Linked DNA regions of Lepisosteus oculatus. The protein of the gene in region 2 interacts with the protein of the main gene of each other region in a biochemical or structural test. Links are inferred from orthologs where the notes say so. Each region holds a gene or a part of one and is shown on either strand. Other genes may lie near its edges.

What was found. The genes of interacting proteins can lie anywhere in the genome.
Region 1: the proteins of tbp (region 2) and btaf1 form a complex in vitro, tested with the Homo sapiens proteins (2 studies listed by BioGRID). The link is inferred for Lepisosteus oculatus from reciprocal best matches to the Homo sapiens genes TBP and BTAF1.

The regions. Positions count from the first base shown.
Region 1 is NC_090699.1:23,924,027-23,932,045, forward strand, and holds the start of btaf1 (TATA-binding protein-associated factor 172), read right to left. Parts: upstream 3,031-8,019; 5' UTR 2,646-3,030; coding exon 2,632-2,645; intron 642-2,631; coding exon 518-641; intron 237-517; coding exon 122-236; intron 1-121. Other genes in the region: protein CC2D2B, read left to right, coding at 5,121-5,135, 7,386-7,524, 7,905-8,019. UniProt on the Homo sapiens protein: Regulates transcription in association with TATA binding protein (TBP). Removes TBP from the TATA box in an ATP-dependent manner.
Region 2 is NC_090712.1:2,370,431-2,378,342, reverse strand, and holds the start of tbp (TATA-box-binding protein), read left to right. Parts: upstream 1-4,808; 5' UTR 4,809-4,903; intron 4,904-5,466; exon of another isoform or gene 5,467-5,569; intron 5,570-7,738; 5' UTR 7,739-7,870; coding exon 7,871-7,912. Other genes in the region: psmb1 (proteasome subunit beta type-1), read left to right, coding at 666-772, 1,320-1,505. UniProt on the Homo sapiens protein: The TFIID basal transcription factor complex plays a major role in the initiation of RNA polymerase II (Pol II)-dependent transcription.

The DNA of each region.
Region 1 (8,019 bases), on a different chromosome or scaffold from region 2:
CACAAATACACTTCGCTAAACACCAATTTACCTGCCTGTTACAAAACTCAACACTGGCACATACTGAGCAGGACTCCTGAGCAGTCAGTAAGAGAAGACAAGTGATAGATGCACATTATACCTTCCTTGGGCTTCGCAGGTGGATTCCACTCAGGCACATTTTTCACAATGGCTTCTACCGCTTGGCCTGCTGCGATGCGTGTGTCCCAGTTAGGACTTCGTAAATACGTTAAAACCTTCAGAGTTCACAAAAGATAAATGCATTATATGATACGGGGTCACAGAAAACTATTTACATTGGTTTTTAAAAACAGGAGAAAAAATGCTTCAAGTCCCAGTGCTTGAGCTATTTATAGACTGGTACTCAAATGGGACTTTTGAGTTAAATTAACTGCTACAAGGCTGGAGGCTCACATCAGCCATAAAGTCATACTCCTGAGTGCAGTGCAGTCAAAAACGAACCTTCACTTGATTTTCCTGTGATCAGGAACTACATGCAGTAGGTCACCAGACTTACTTTAGATAAGAGGTTATTCAGCTCGTGTGGGTGAAGCTTCACCACATCTCCCAGCTGCTGTGCCGCTGCTTTCCTTGTCACTGGGGTCGTCCCAGTGTCCAACAAAATGAACAGACGGTCAAGCCTGAAAGCAAAAGCAACAGCAAAAGATGTGGGCATTAGTGCACATTCTCATCAGGAATTGCTTGCATACTTCCAAGAAAACCTGAATTCATGAAGATCTCGTCAACATTAAGGAATCATAATCTATTCTAATAAGACACTACTACAGATGCTACGTTCTGGAATGTTACAGTATGTTTTTGCAACATTCATTTGTTTAACAAAAGATATTTCTTTTGTAATCAACATGCTAAGCCAGCAAAATGCACTGTAGCTCTTTAAAGGTGGCATGGAGAAAGTAAATTCTGCCTTCTTTTATTTGCATGTTACCAAAAATATGAGGATTATCAGTACTGCCTTTAAACAAAACTAAAATGCTAGAAACGTATTCAGTATCTTCAGTGGGTGAAAAAATGACAAAGAGAAATTAATTTGCTCATGCATTTATAGCTGATAACTTGCAGGCTAGCGGTAGTACTGTCACCACCTGATAACGACAGTTTCTGCCAGACCTCTCAATGCCAGTCAACTTCGTTTCACGAGTATTACCGACATGATAACTAGAGACAACACTTAACATTTTATTCATGGTTGCCATTATTTCAGTTTGCCATAACTTAGAAAACTGCCACAAGGCTAAATATTTTTGGTCTTCCCAAGGACTTCAGCACAAAGTAGATAATCAATGAGCAAAGTTTTAACATCGCACATAAAATTAATGCGCACTTTTAAAACCATCCGGTGACACCAGGAAATGCTTTGATAAACAAGATACTATATACAAAAGAATCTTTAATCACTAGGCAGTCCTTTTATTATTAGAATTTTTTGCAGCTCCTTTTGTTACCTGCAATTTCACCACACCTAAAATGCCGCATGTCTGTTTTATTCTGTGTAACGGACCGGATTGATACAGTGTATTTCACTAACTTAAAGCACGTTTTTAAAATATATCCCCATACAACCAACCCGTACAAATGGGGGAAAAAAAAACTTTCTGAATCAACCATCCACTGTGCCAAGTACACAATAAGCGAATAATGAAAATGAAAAACATAATAAAAGAAAACATCTAGCGCAGAAATACAAACAATTCCCCACATTGGACTAAAAAAAAGTTACTGTCAAACAGAAGCATTTACTGTACATTTAAATTAAAAGTTAGATACTATTTCATTTCCGTATTCGTCTCAGGGGTAGAGAACCTAGGATATAAATAGGTCATGAACGCCTTAATTTTCCTTTAAATCGAAATATCGCTTCGTTCATAAAGATATAAACTCGTTCTTTCAAATGTGAAATTGTGGTTTATTAATCAGCGCAAAAAATATAATGACTGACATTTGTTAAGAACGTGTTACACGATCTCCCCCCCCTCTTATTCAGCATGTACTGTGTGCAGCTTTGAGCCACAGCCACGCATGGGGTTTCTGTGCAGCCAGTAGAGCAACAGGCATTATCATCTGCTTTGGACTGGAGATTTACGTATATAAATAGCAAAGATTAAGATTTATGTTCGGACAATATCGCATGTGTCCCTCTACAGACACTTTTAACTGCAACATTGATAATGATAATTAAGCGCTCCCATTTGACTTCTTGATTTGACAAACGAAATCAGCGACCTATCATTTCCTGTGATCTCCTAAACTCCATAATTAATACTATGCATGGTCTAGTGAATAAACACTTTATCTGTAACACTAGCAAACACCCGCTGTGTAACGCAAATTGTGTAATTTATAGCAAAGCAGCTAATTTGAAGGCAAAAGAAAACATATATGGTGTTTTCATTGTCTACAGCGATTGGCTGACTACAGATGTAACACAACCTATAAAAGGGGTATGTTTATAGGCTTTAAAGCGTCTGAAACTGCCCTTGTCCTACCGGCGTTTAATTACTCACAATAAAATCGAAATTACTGTACTTGTAACAAGACTGGAGTCGAGCTGGGCCTGACGACAAGAGCATTCTATTGTTACTCAATTTATAAAATGTAAAACAATCCCACCTTGATACGGCCATGTTGGTGAATTAAGAGCAAAGCTGTAATCTTGCGTGGTCTGTCTACCCACAAAAATAAACCATCTATTTCCTATTGCCTTGGTTTTCTAATCTCAAAAGATCCGGTGGCTTCGGAGAGGCCCAGCTCTTTCGCTCACCATCCAAAGCCAGACTGACGAAAGGGTGCTTTTAATTCATAGCTTCATAAAAGCTCCCCCGTTTAACCAGATTGCCTCGCACTATAACGTAACGCCTTACAATACATTTATATTAGTCTTAAAGCTTAGATTATCCCGCTGAACTGCATCCGGAAAGGTATTTTATTCGAATAAGGAATAAACAATAATTTTGTTGTTCACTAAAGAGAACCCAGGAGTCTGGTTTTATATGAGGAGCCATCTTGCATTTATTCCTTCCTCCATGGTAGCCGGAGCGTGATTGGTTACATGAACTACGGATGGCCAATCACAGGGCACGTTTTACAGGTAAGCGAGTAGCAGGAAGAGACCAGGGCAGGAAACCGAAAGAAATAAACCCCGCCTCTGTCAACTCTGACCCCACCCTCTCAGTTACACATCATGCCGGGGGCGTGTTTTCTAGTGGAAGGAATAGCGGACAAGGAGACCAGCTTGGCATTAATTTCTCAGCTTTTTATGAAGTTTTTATTTTTTGTTTTGGTTGCTTATATCTAATCTTACACACAATTACGGGTACCTATAAACTTCATACTAATGAAATACTGTGAGTTCAAGAAAATAATTCAGAACATAAAAGTGAACTTTAGTTTGCCTTCCCTTCACTGCTCTTTACACTGTTAGTGGTGCATTCAGTGATTAAAAAAAGTATTGTTTAATCACATGACTATTCTTTGTGTTTTTTCCAAGAGCCCTTTAGACTAGTTTCATAATGTTTTCTACGTCCCTTCAGATCATATCGCAGTTACAACACTTAGAAATACCATGTCACATCGCGCACTCCAGCTTCTTGTAGAATTAACTGTTTTCAGCCAGGAACCCAGCACTGTATTGTTGTTAACAAATGCAGATCAGGTCCTTGATGCAACAGATTGCAACCCAAAAGATTGCATTACTAACAAATACGACCTGCATCGCCAGTAAATTACTGAATCGCCAATAACAGACCTTTGTTATTGATAAAAGTCCCAATGACTTTATATATATGGAAGCAATAACTTACATAATCTATATAAACGCCCAGGCTCAATGAGGGCATATTACATTGGTTTATCATTACTGTATTTATATAATTATGTAATATGTTCATTTTGATGCATTATAGATTTATTAATTCTTCCCGTTGTTTCGTTATGATGACAAATGGTCAGTTCAAATCAAATTCATACGAAGCTGTTGTGATATTACTTGAATTACAGCTTACTAGAGGGATAGGTATTTCTGTAAAACCATGCATCTTTATCTCTGTTAATGTTTTTCTTGTTAGCAAAATTCCTGACATGTACCCCCATGAAATTATTATCTGGCCCCGTGCATATACAATACCTTAAGCAGCTCAAATTCACCGAATAAAAGTATTTCGTATTCCTATTGAAATACAGTAATTCCCTTAAACATTTATTATGCTCCTTCAAACTGTTTGGAACTAAATATGACCTTAAAATGATCTTACTAAACTACGTGGCAACTACAATAATAACGTTATTCTGTAATTCGTTGGAAACGAACCCTCTCGTGCATTATTTGAATCAGATATTAGCTGGAAAATGTGCTACTCAATAACTTTCCTTTCTCAGCACTGAAATAATTAACTCAGAGTAAGTATAACATATTTTTTTATTTCTTTTCAGTGTACTGTTGGTCAATCCATGTAATAAAATACAATACGAATTGTTTTTATTTTCATATACACCATCAGGGGGCAGTCGAGTTTGATTTTTATATACCACATTCTATCACGCTTCTGTAGTTTCTCACAAAAATGTTATGACGAAAACGAAGTTTTCCCCGTTTCAGTTGCCATGCAGACTAAAATGGGAAAGTTGCCTTTAATAACAAATTGCTGATATTTTACAGCTCATATAACATGGATTAGAAGAATAGGTTGTGAAATGGACAGATGGAAAAATGATATAATCAAAAGTACCCAGAAGAAGGCCTTACATGAACGTATTAATAAAATATTGACAGTTAATTGTGGTTTTCACATACAGTCAATGTATTCACATTAAGTCCTTTACTTCCAAAAAATTCATTATTTGTAAAACATAATTCTGAATATTAAAAAAAGTTTCTGCTCAAATGGAGATTCATTTTTCACTCAGGAAAATTTATATTGAAATAGTAAATAAATCTTGGCGTAGTAGTTGTAATGAGTGTCAACTTAAATCTGTTCATTGAAAGGGATATTTATATGTATTCTACTTTATTAAATTTATGTTGTGTTGTATTCTTTAGATATACATGACGCTTCCCTTAGACAAAGATAAAGGCAGCCTTGAGACACAGACCAAGAGTTAAAATGGAGGGTAAAAATGTAAGTCAACTTCTGAATATTGTTTGAATAATTTTAGCATAAGAGTGGCTGAAGAATAATAAAGTCTAGAAATGCTTTTATCAATCACAAAGATTGCACTCAAAGAAATAAGGATTGTTATTCATAAACCACTAGCTGGCATCGTCCAGTAGACATTTAAGACAGGTTCCTCTCCATTCTTTGAAAAGAATGATACATCCATTTATCATTCTAGGAGATAGCATGACTTTTGGAAAAGTCTTTTTAATTAACTTGTAACCTGTTAATTGTTAAAGTGTAAGCATCAGTAATAAATACAAAAAATAATAAATACAATATTTGACATGATATACTGTATTTAGATTTCCAGAAAATATTTTGTAAAGCTTCAAATGAAAGATTAACTCATAAACTAAGATGTAAAATAAAAAGTGTTTATGAGAACCGAGTACAAGCAAGAACTAGAATTATTACAGACTTAATATTTAAATAAAAAGAAGGCTCAGAGTAAAAAATGGCACACAAATTCTTAACACAGGAGAATGGAATTGTCTTCAAAGGTTATGCAAATTTGATTACATTATGGTAATAAATAACACTTAGATCTACTAAATTTAAATCTGAATCTGAGCTACTGAATCTCTATTTCCAGTTTTAAGTTTAACCAGATGTCAGAACTGACTTGATTCCAGTTAAATCTTCTGTGAAGACAAGCAACTCTGTGTCAGATGGGTCTAAAATACATAGAGTCTCATTAGCAAAGAATGAAAGCTGAGTTTGTATTTAATTGATGTCACCAAGTGGTGATATGTACAACCAACTGCCAGGGTCCCTAGATAGAGCCCTGGGGAACACCAAAATGATCAGCTCTCATTGCAAAGCTAGTTTTATCTAGAGAGATATGGCCTAGTGAAACTTTTGAGAGAGATAGGAATGACTGTAGTGAAAGAAGAATGCTATGGAATATCTGGTGCTCAACATGATTTTACTTTGTGCTTATCAAAACAAATAATGGAAGCAATTAAAAGGGCCATTAGTATGCTTAGATTGTTAATCCGTGGACATGCAGAACAGTGCCGTGTTTATCTGTCAAGGCAAAATGCAAGCCTAGAACTCTATGAGTCTCTAGAAGTTCTCAGAATGCTGAGATAGCAGTGCAACACAGAAGACAGACTGGAGAAGTGTATCAGGCAGGCTAGAATATCTGAGAGAAGATGAGAGGTGGCAAAGGAACAACACTGTAGAGAAGCAGAGCAGAGGCTGCCTCAAGAAGCAGGCAGCACTTTCAGATGGTAGGCAGCAGGGTAGCTGAGTGAAGGATTCCTGAAGAAGCAGGTAGTCTTAGCAGAAAATAAACCAAGACTGGATACACCCCTGGTGTAAAGCATGTTATTTAAATCATGGGATGCTATCTTAAGATCATACAATGCACCAGCAACATCTTCTTTAGCATGTTGCTTTCAAGTTTGGTCTCAATATGTAAAAAAAAAAGTTACCTTGGATATTGTTTGAAGAAAAATTTATATTTCCAAAGAAATGTCATTCACGACAGTTTGAGATGACATAAACATGTTAGGTCTTAAATAGAATGGACTACACATATCGTAAAGATAAAAAAATATTAGAATGAAGATTTCTCACTGCCTCATTTGGCTCTATGTAAAAAAATGCATTGCATTAAATATTTCACTGAAGTTTTAATTTTAAAATATTTTAATGAATGAAAATGTTTATATTGTTAATTTCCCTTGTAATCACAGATAACTATCCCTGTAATTAATGTCAATATAACATACTTTAAAATTAGGATTTAAACCAATCGTTACTTTCTTTTTCATTCTCAGTCATTACTTTAAGAAATGAAGATTATTTTTTCTTTTCCTGTAATTTTGATGAGATTTCACATGGATTCCCAGCTGTTGGCCTTTCTTCATTATTAGTTAGTATGTTCAGTTTAAAATCCTAACCTTTTAGTGCTGCTTAATTATTATTGCATATTTCACAGTGCCATTAAGTCAATCTTGATTTCTGATGCCACAAACAGTATTTTTTAAAGTGTAATGTAGTCAATGCCTGTTATTGATGCCTTTTTACTATTTAGGCACACATCATTTCAAATGACAGAATTAATTTTATTATGATGCTTTAAATTAAATTAAGTCAGTTCTGACATCTGGTTAAATGTAATTGTTGTAAATGTAATCAGTCAATCAATGAATTCATATGCTTGACAATTAATACAAAGTCATCAATGCTATATTTTTTACAAAGATAAGAACTCACCACAAGATATCAGAAGACTCAATTCCCTTTGTTGAGAAGGATGATCTTCATGAGTTCCTGTTGCCTATCCAAATGGCAGATGATACAGCTGGTCTGTCCTGTGTCTTTGTGCCTAGTGATTCACCTGGTACGATATTGAAAAGATTTTTATTTTTGGCGAATCATGTTAAATCATTAGATTTGTTGATTGTAACTGTAACTCGGTATAACACTGTTGGAAAATGTTTTTTGGCTTGATAGGATTTTGTACATTGTAGCATATGACTAGATTTAAAAAATGCTTGACATGCCAATTGGAAGGCTAAAAATATCATAATGTATGTTGATAAGAAATTCTAATGTAAAAATGAAAAAAGCGATACCTTATATACAGTACTCACCTGTCTCTGAAAAACAGATGTCTGGAGAATATAGTATTTTTTGTTAAAAACTGAATTTAGATAGTGAAATAACTATTCATTTATCGAATAATATTTGTGTGAAAAAAACATATCAGACGGTGTTTAGTTAGTTGCAGTGCAAAATTACCAGCAAAGATGAACAAACGTGTTCTGGAGGAGGAAGGACTGTATGTCCGTGAAAGACCCCATGTATCAAAAAAACAAATGAACAGGATGGAGAA
Region 2 (7,912 bases):
CTCTGGGTGCTCCGCAAATACATATGGGCGGGCAAGGCCTTTGTGTGAGAGTCTGTGTTTGTGTCAGTGTGTCCTGTCCAGGGTGTACCCCGCCTTGTGCCCATGGCTAACCAGGGATAGACTCTGGCTCCCCTGCAACTCCGTTTTGGATACAGAGATCAGAAAATGGATGAATAGTAAAACTGACAGAGCAGCACATATTAGTGTCATGCGCTTCTGTCTTTTTCAGGAACTGCAGGCTCTTGAATAACAATAGCAATACCAAGTGGTACATCTTTCAAGACTTTTTATTTTGAATAAATTTGGTTTGTGATGTTATAAATTACATCTAGTATTTAAACCTCCAGTGAATCTCTTTATACTGTGGTGTCTAATCTGCTGCCTTGTATTTAGGCCTGTTTGTATGGAGCAGCGCAGTAATGTCACAGGGGGCTTGTGTGTTGTTCCCCAGAAATATCTGAGTCAGGAGCCAAATGTCTGTGGCAGCTCATTCTCCTGCAGGATTTTAATGCTGTGGCGAAAGGAATGACACAATTTGAAATTGTGTTCAGATTTGCAAATGATTAAATCCACCAGTTGAAAATGGGGGAAAATCATTTTTATTTTAAATTTAAAAAGCTGTTTCGTTGAGAATGTGTACCTTAACAAGAACGTGACTTTTCCAGGTAAGGGAGCAGTGTACAGTTTTGATCCAGTAGGTTCTTATCAAAGAGATGCTTACAAGGCTGGAGGTTCAGCAAGTGCCATGCTGCAGCCCCTCCTCGATAACCAGGTACAGTTCCTGTGGAAAGCAGTGTTCTTGCACTCTGTTCCCCATAAGGCTGATTTATTGTTGACCATGTGAAGTTTGATCTCATGTGTTGCATGGGCATTAACTTCGATTCAGTCAATATTCTTAACAATATTACAGGCATTAAACTAATTCTGATATGACTTCATGATGTTTACTGCAGCTGGGAAAAGGAAGAAACTTTAATTGAATTTTTAGAGAAATAATAATTAAAAAATAGACTTGTTACTATGAATGCAAAATTATTTTTGTTTAATCAGACATTGTTGTTCTGTGCAGTTGATACATTTGATGAATGAAATGGTTTTCAAATCTGAATCTTTTGGGTCTAAGGGTAGTGTTTATCAAATTCCCTTCAGTTCTTCACTGTATGGGCATTTAACTAGCAGATCATATGGTCATGTACTGTTTTTATATATTACAATATTGCACTGAGGACAACTGCTGTATAGGATTTTTACTGGACTTCAGTAGAGGGCAGCTTCCTTATGGCGGTGTATGATTTTAAATGCCTTTTACTCCTCTCTAGATTGGCTTCAAGAACATGGAGAATGTGGAGCACTTGCCTCTGACCTTGGAGAAGGCTGTTCAGCTTGTCAAGGATGTCTTCATCTCAGCAGCTGAGAGAGATGTGTACACAGGTGATGCTCTTAAAATCTGCATTGTCACCAAGGAGGGCATCAAGGAAGAGACTGTCCCACTCCGAAAAGATTGAGAATAAACTTGTACCACTTTCCTTCAGAAATGTTTAATGAAAGTGTATTAATTTTTTACACTGTCATCTTGTGTAGTAAATAAAGAGGTATGGTATGTATATTTTCTATTACAAGGAAGTACTCCTTTCTGTATTTAAACTGACCCTAACTTTGTTTTTAAACAAAAATGTAAACCAATTTAATAGTTTGCCAGGTATGTTTCATGTCATTTTGCGCTGAAACATCCATATGTTCTATTCCATTAGCTAAAACTATAATTTTCCACATTCTAAAAACTCCATTGATCTAAAATCAATCATTGATATCTAAATAAACCTCTGCAGTTTCCCTATAATTATTTTTGTATCTGGAGTGCGTGTTCCTGATTTTGAAATAACCAAACTATCCATGCGATACGGATTATTTAGTAATGAACATTTTTATTTCTGGAACCAATGCAGGTTCTGACAGTCAGTGTCGATAGGCTTTCGACATCACTATACGGCAGCAGCTGACAAGTTGGGAAAAGTTAAAGAGGTACAGTTAAGCCATAAAATTATGTAATCTAAGAGCGGAGTTGGAAAAATGCAAACACATGGGCTCTCTAGTATTGAAGTTGGGCACCCCTGCTTTAGTTAGAACCAAGGACTCCACTGCTGCTGTTCAATAATGTAAATGAATTTATATTATTCATGTGATTACATTATTACTGTAAGAGTGATTTTTAATATGCAGCATGAATTTGCATAAGTCCTTTAAATGCACATAAAGAATTGCATGGATCCAAAGGCCACAGAAACACTGCTTGAAGTATTGGGTTTGTAATTAGGGGTCTTGAATTAAGTGTGGTTTACAGATTATAAGGGGTTGGGGGTTGGGCTGTAGTATAATTCTGGATCTGTAATAAAAGAGAGCCTCAAATTGAATAGCCCTGCTCTGTAGCTCATTAGCAATTTAAAGTGAGCAAAGTGGTCTTGAGTCGTGGAAAAAGACAGTTTTCTGAGAACCCTCCGGAGTGTTCTGATGGACTGCTTAAATCCTCGTATAAATGAGTTTTTATCAGTTGCTGTCTCGGAAGGGCCATGTCTGGATCAGGGTGGGCTCTCCTCCAGCAGCCCGACAGAGAACTTCCGGGCGATGTTGTGCAGCGTGCAACAGGTGTAACGAATACCCCCCTGTGTTTAACCCGAGTTCTCCTTCAGCTCAGCTGGCAAGCTCCCTGTTGCATGACACCAGAGACCAGGGTTCATGAGAGACGAACTGGCAGGGCAGGAGGGGCAAGGGCGGAGACCCCCAGAACCCTTACACGGGCATTGATAATCTCAGTGGCCCTGGTGGGCGTCTGTTTCTGATTGCACCCGTAATCTCAGTTTGAGGGCACCAGATGTCCTCTGGATAACTATGGGTCTTGTCATGGGCTCTGTTGTATCGCCCTTCCGCCTGATCAGCTGGATCCGACACGGGTGAGGAGGTGCTTCTGCAAAAAGCAACTTCTGCTGTCTAAAAGCAAATGAGATGCTAATCGGAGAGGTGATTATGTATCGGTGTAAATCAGGCAAGTGGATCCTTTTTAAAGGCAAACCCTAGGCCTAAACCAACAGCAGGTAAGCCAAGGCAAATATCATAAAAAGCAATCTAGACATTTACTGCACAGAGTGAAAACAAAGCTAGAAGACAAGCATGACAAAACAATAAAGCACACAACCCTGTAAAACCAGCCTTGGGTCAACCAAGGCGTGAGGGTACCCCCAAAAACTACTCGGTTTAATTTAAAAAGTACTCAGGTTCATTAGGGCCTGTGGGGTACCCCAAACCACAGAGACTTCACCCCTAAACATAGCAATGAGTAGTTAAAATTATTCTGACAACAGTCTTTCAATTGGTTTTTCCTGATGATATGCAGAAAGGCTTCATCGGGATTTTGTTTTAAAATGTTCAGAGAAGTCCAAGACTGGTTATGTTGACTTCCTTTCGGACGAATGAGTGGATCAACCTTGCCACTCAATCAACACCAGCAAGCCATCCATCATCTCCACAAATGCCAGCCTGGAACTCTTTGCTTATGGAGGACGGTTCCCAAAAAGTTGCAACACTGAGTAAATTACTGTGCGAGTCGCAAACCATCTGGACTGATGGACCGGTAGGTGTTTGTACTCATGAAAACGAACTCTCTTTCTACGGGCGCTGTGGTGCGCACTTGAGTGCAGCCCAGCTCTAGGCGACACCCGAGCTGCTCTGCCCTGTCAGGCAAGACTGGGGAAACTGTGGTCGCGGCTGGGCTGACGGAGGACTGGGGCGTCCCCGCAACCTCCGCCATGTGTCTGCAGGGACCCGTTTGCACAGGAGCTCAGAGCCGCGAGCAGGGCTGTCCCGCACGCAGCCCACAGAGACAACGGAGACGTGGATAAGGGGGGGTGTGGGAGTAGAGAAATGGAAGTGGTCGAAAAAAAATTCATTGTCGAAGGTGTCTAGCCCGGACCTGGGGATACTCCGGCTGACCACTCTGTCCACCTCGTCTTGCACAGTGAACCACACTGCAGCCTCATGTGACATTTTCAATAAGACTCTCTCGCTACAAACGATTGTGTGTGCCCGTCTCGTATTTAGGATTTCGTTCAGATTGTTACACCATATCGCAAACACCATTTTTACACCCATCTTTACATCAATAATTGAATTCAACACTCATTTCCCTGCACGACCCAGTTTCTGCCTGCGCACCCGATGACACAGAAAACAACGAGAAGGATCGCCCTGCTTCCAATGAGCGCCGCATTAAAATTAGTGCCCAAAGCACAAATCACAAAATCCTGTTTATCCGTATGCTTTAGATTAGCGAAATCCAAATGTTCTGCACACAATTTAAAAATGGTTATTTACCGTATTATTACGTATATACACGACTGATATAATTCCAAGTACTAAACACTCAAGTTTTGCTTTAGATAAATCAATAATAACTAAGGCACTCCTTCCAGTATAAAACTGTCGGCCCATACCCTGCTGTGTCCTAGTAGAAAGCTGTATTTAGTTGACCTCAAAATTTTATAAACACACGAGAGACGTCTGTATATGAAATCATGTACAGAATCACACTCTTTGACATACTGATTGAAACTCATAAGGATTTAAAAAAAAGGATTAAAAAAATTATATTTAAGACCAATTATCTGAAAAACAAATGACCACCAGACTTGTTATGTCTCCTGTATTTTAAAACACCTAGGCAATTACTCTTAAACCCTGTTCACATATAGCGACCACCATCACATTTTTAGTTTTGCACGGCTGTTCCGGAAGGACAACTCGGCGCTACAGGAAGTTTGCGCGCAGTTTGCTGGGAGAGAAGGAGGGTTTTTTTTGCGGTAGTGAGCGGTCGAAAAAACAAGAGCTGCTGCAGAGACAGAGGCGTAAAAAGGTGAGGGGAAACGGGACGAAGGGGCTAACCGTTTATTTTCTGTGTTTGGGAGACAGTAATGAGCCTAGATAGCGAGGGTGTGTTTATTTTGCGAAGGAATGTCTCGCTACACGTCGGGGCCGTCGGGTACCAGAAGGAAATTGTATGTGTGTGAGCGGGATTATTTTGCAATTAATTTGTTTAAAATGTATTTGGGTATAACTGCCAAGTCATTTATAAACAGCCCTAAAATGAATTTTACGCCTTCAAACGTAAAAGATACGTGCTCGCGAAGATTGTATGTTTGTTGCGGTCAGCTATAATTTTTAACTCGCTTTTTTATTTATAGATAATTATGCACTGAGCGTTGTTTTATAGTGCATTTGTTCTTTATCTCGCATATCTGCAGTGCCCCATACTAGGAAAGTAACGGCTCTGATTTAAAATCATTTAAACCCATGATTTAAAGACTAACTGGCATGGTTACTTAAGGTGCATGGTTTTGCACTTCGTCAACTACGACACAAAGGCGATACTACAGCGGTGGCGAAGAGAGGTTTCTCGATGAATAAATCTGTTAATATGCGCTGGTCCAACACTGCTGTAATGTCCTTCTGCAATGTCTACATCAGCTCCAGAACCTGGGTGCTGGAAAACCTAGTTGCATTAGTGTCTCCGATTTAGCAGGTGGGTAAGTAAGAGTTAAGTAAGAACTGGCTTTGGTGCCAACATTTCGACACTGCTGTCAGGACCGTGTTTTGGTGGAGGGCTGGGTCTCGTTGCTTCGCGTTGTCGTTGAACTGCGCTCTGCCCGGCTCGGTCTTCTGCTGTCAAAGCTGCAAACTATTTATTAGAGGACTAAGCAAGACAATTATTAGTCGAGTTCATTGAAGAGTGTTATCAAATGGAATGAAGATCGGCAGACACGGTGGGTCCCCAAGACCAGTATAAAAAAACTCAGGCAGTGCCATATATCCTTCTGATGGGACATTTAACTGAGATGTTTAACCATCAGGGGTTCCAGCCTGAGCTGTCAGTTACATCAAAGGCCTAATTATTTAACTGCATAGGTGTAATACCTGTAGCTTGGTGTAATGTGTGACTATACCCTGTATAGTACATTACCTTAATGTACTGAGTGTGTTGAGTCATCAACTGTAAAAAGCCTTAAGTAACATCCTGGTTTTTGTCCAGGATGACTAAAAAAATAAGAAAATAATGACCTTTTATAATTTAGTGCTTGGGGATGTAAACAAATCCATCTACCCATTTCCTAAACTGCCTCTTCCAGTTTGGGGTCAGGGGGGAGCCAGAGCCTATCCTGCCCAGAAACAGGTGTATGACGGGGTACACCCTGGATGGGACACCAGTCCATCACAGGGCACAGACAGACACAAACGCACACACTCGCACCTGGGCCAATTTTCCAAGAAGCCAATTAACCCACCAGCATTTGTACTGTGGGAAGAAAGCCAATGTGAATACAGGGAGAACATACCATTGTAACCATCGTAGTAATAATAATTGCTTACACTTATATAGAGCTTTTCTGGACACTCCACTCAAAGCGCTTTACAGGTAATGGGGGATCCCCTCCACCACCACCAGTGTGCAGCCCCACCTGGATGATGTGACGGCAGCCATAGTGCGCCAGAACGCTCACCACACACCAGCTCTCAGTGGGGAGGAGAGCAGAGTGATGAAGCCAATTCATAGATGGAGATTATTATTAGGAGGCCATGATTGGTAAGGGCCAATAGGAAATTTGGCCAGGGGTTACACGCCTACTCTCTTCGAGAAACGCCCTGGGATTTTTAATGACCGCAAAGAGTCAGAACCTCGGTTTTCATCCGAAGGACGGCGCCTGTTTACAGTATAGTGTCCCCCTCACTATACTGGGGCATTAGGATCCACATGGACCGCAGGGTGAGCGCCCCCTGCCGGCCCCACTAACACCTCTTCCAGCAGCAACCTTAGTTTTTCCCAGGAGGTCTCCCATCCAGGTACTGGCCAGGCTCACACCTGCTGAGCTCCAGTGGGCTGCCAGTTGTGAGTTGCAGAGTGACATGGCTTCTAGGTTAATCTAATGCACAAATCATTGTACACTAGTGCTGTACACATCAGAACCTGGAGGACCTCCAGGTCTTTCTGGTTTTCTTTCAGGATGACATTGTGATTATCTAGGCAGATAGAGCTGTAGCTGATTAAGATATTCTGTTAATTTCATAAGAGCATTTACGGAGTTGTTGATGCACATGGACCCCAAAACCTTTTCTGCACTCATTCAGGTGTATGGATTGTATGTAATTGGGTCTTTGGAGAACACAAAATGGCCTTTATTGGTTGGAGGGTTTGATAAAGTGTTCTCACATGTACCTGTACCTAAATAATGTATTACTTCGTGAGAACTGTTTAGACACAAAAATGCCAGAACCACTTAATTAAGCATGTTGAGGAGATACTGAATGGAGATTTCTTGGCAGTATTTTCTAAAACAAAATCTGAGTACAGAATTATGTGGACAAGCTATTTAATGGTCAAATCAAGCTGGAAAATCAATTGAAGGGACCACTTTGCCTGATTAAGATAGCAAGTGGAGCAAACACCAGAAGAGACAGACCTCCCCCCAGTCACGAGCTGAGAACCACTTCTCTGTACTGCACCAGTTGTGTTAAAATGCTTAATGTATCTCACTCATACAATGGCCAACGTGTCAAGATAAAACATTTCTTTGGAAGTTGTCTCATCCAAAAAATCTTACATCTTTTACTTTCCGTAACTAAGAGGTGCATTGTTAGAACTTGTCCTTCTCTGTTTGGAACATCGTGCGATGTATTTTGTTTCCTCTTATTTCAGGTTTCGAAGAGGCCCTTTGTCAGGACGTCTCAACTGAATGACTGGTGTTGGCTGCAGTTAGTTTAGTTGCGGACAAAAGGTGGAAGAAGCCCTTCAGAGGTGTTTCTCTGGTGACGCTTGGCTCGGGAGAGAATGGAACAGAACAACAGCTTGCCCCCATATGCACAAGGCCTG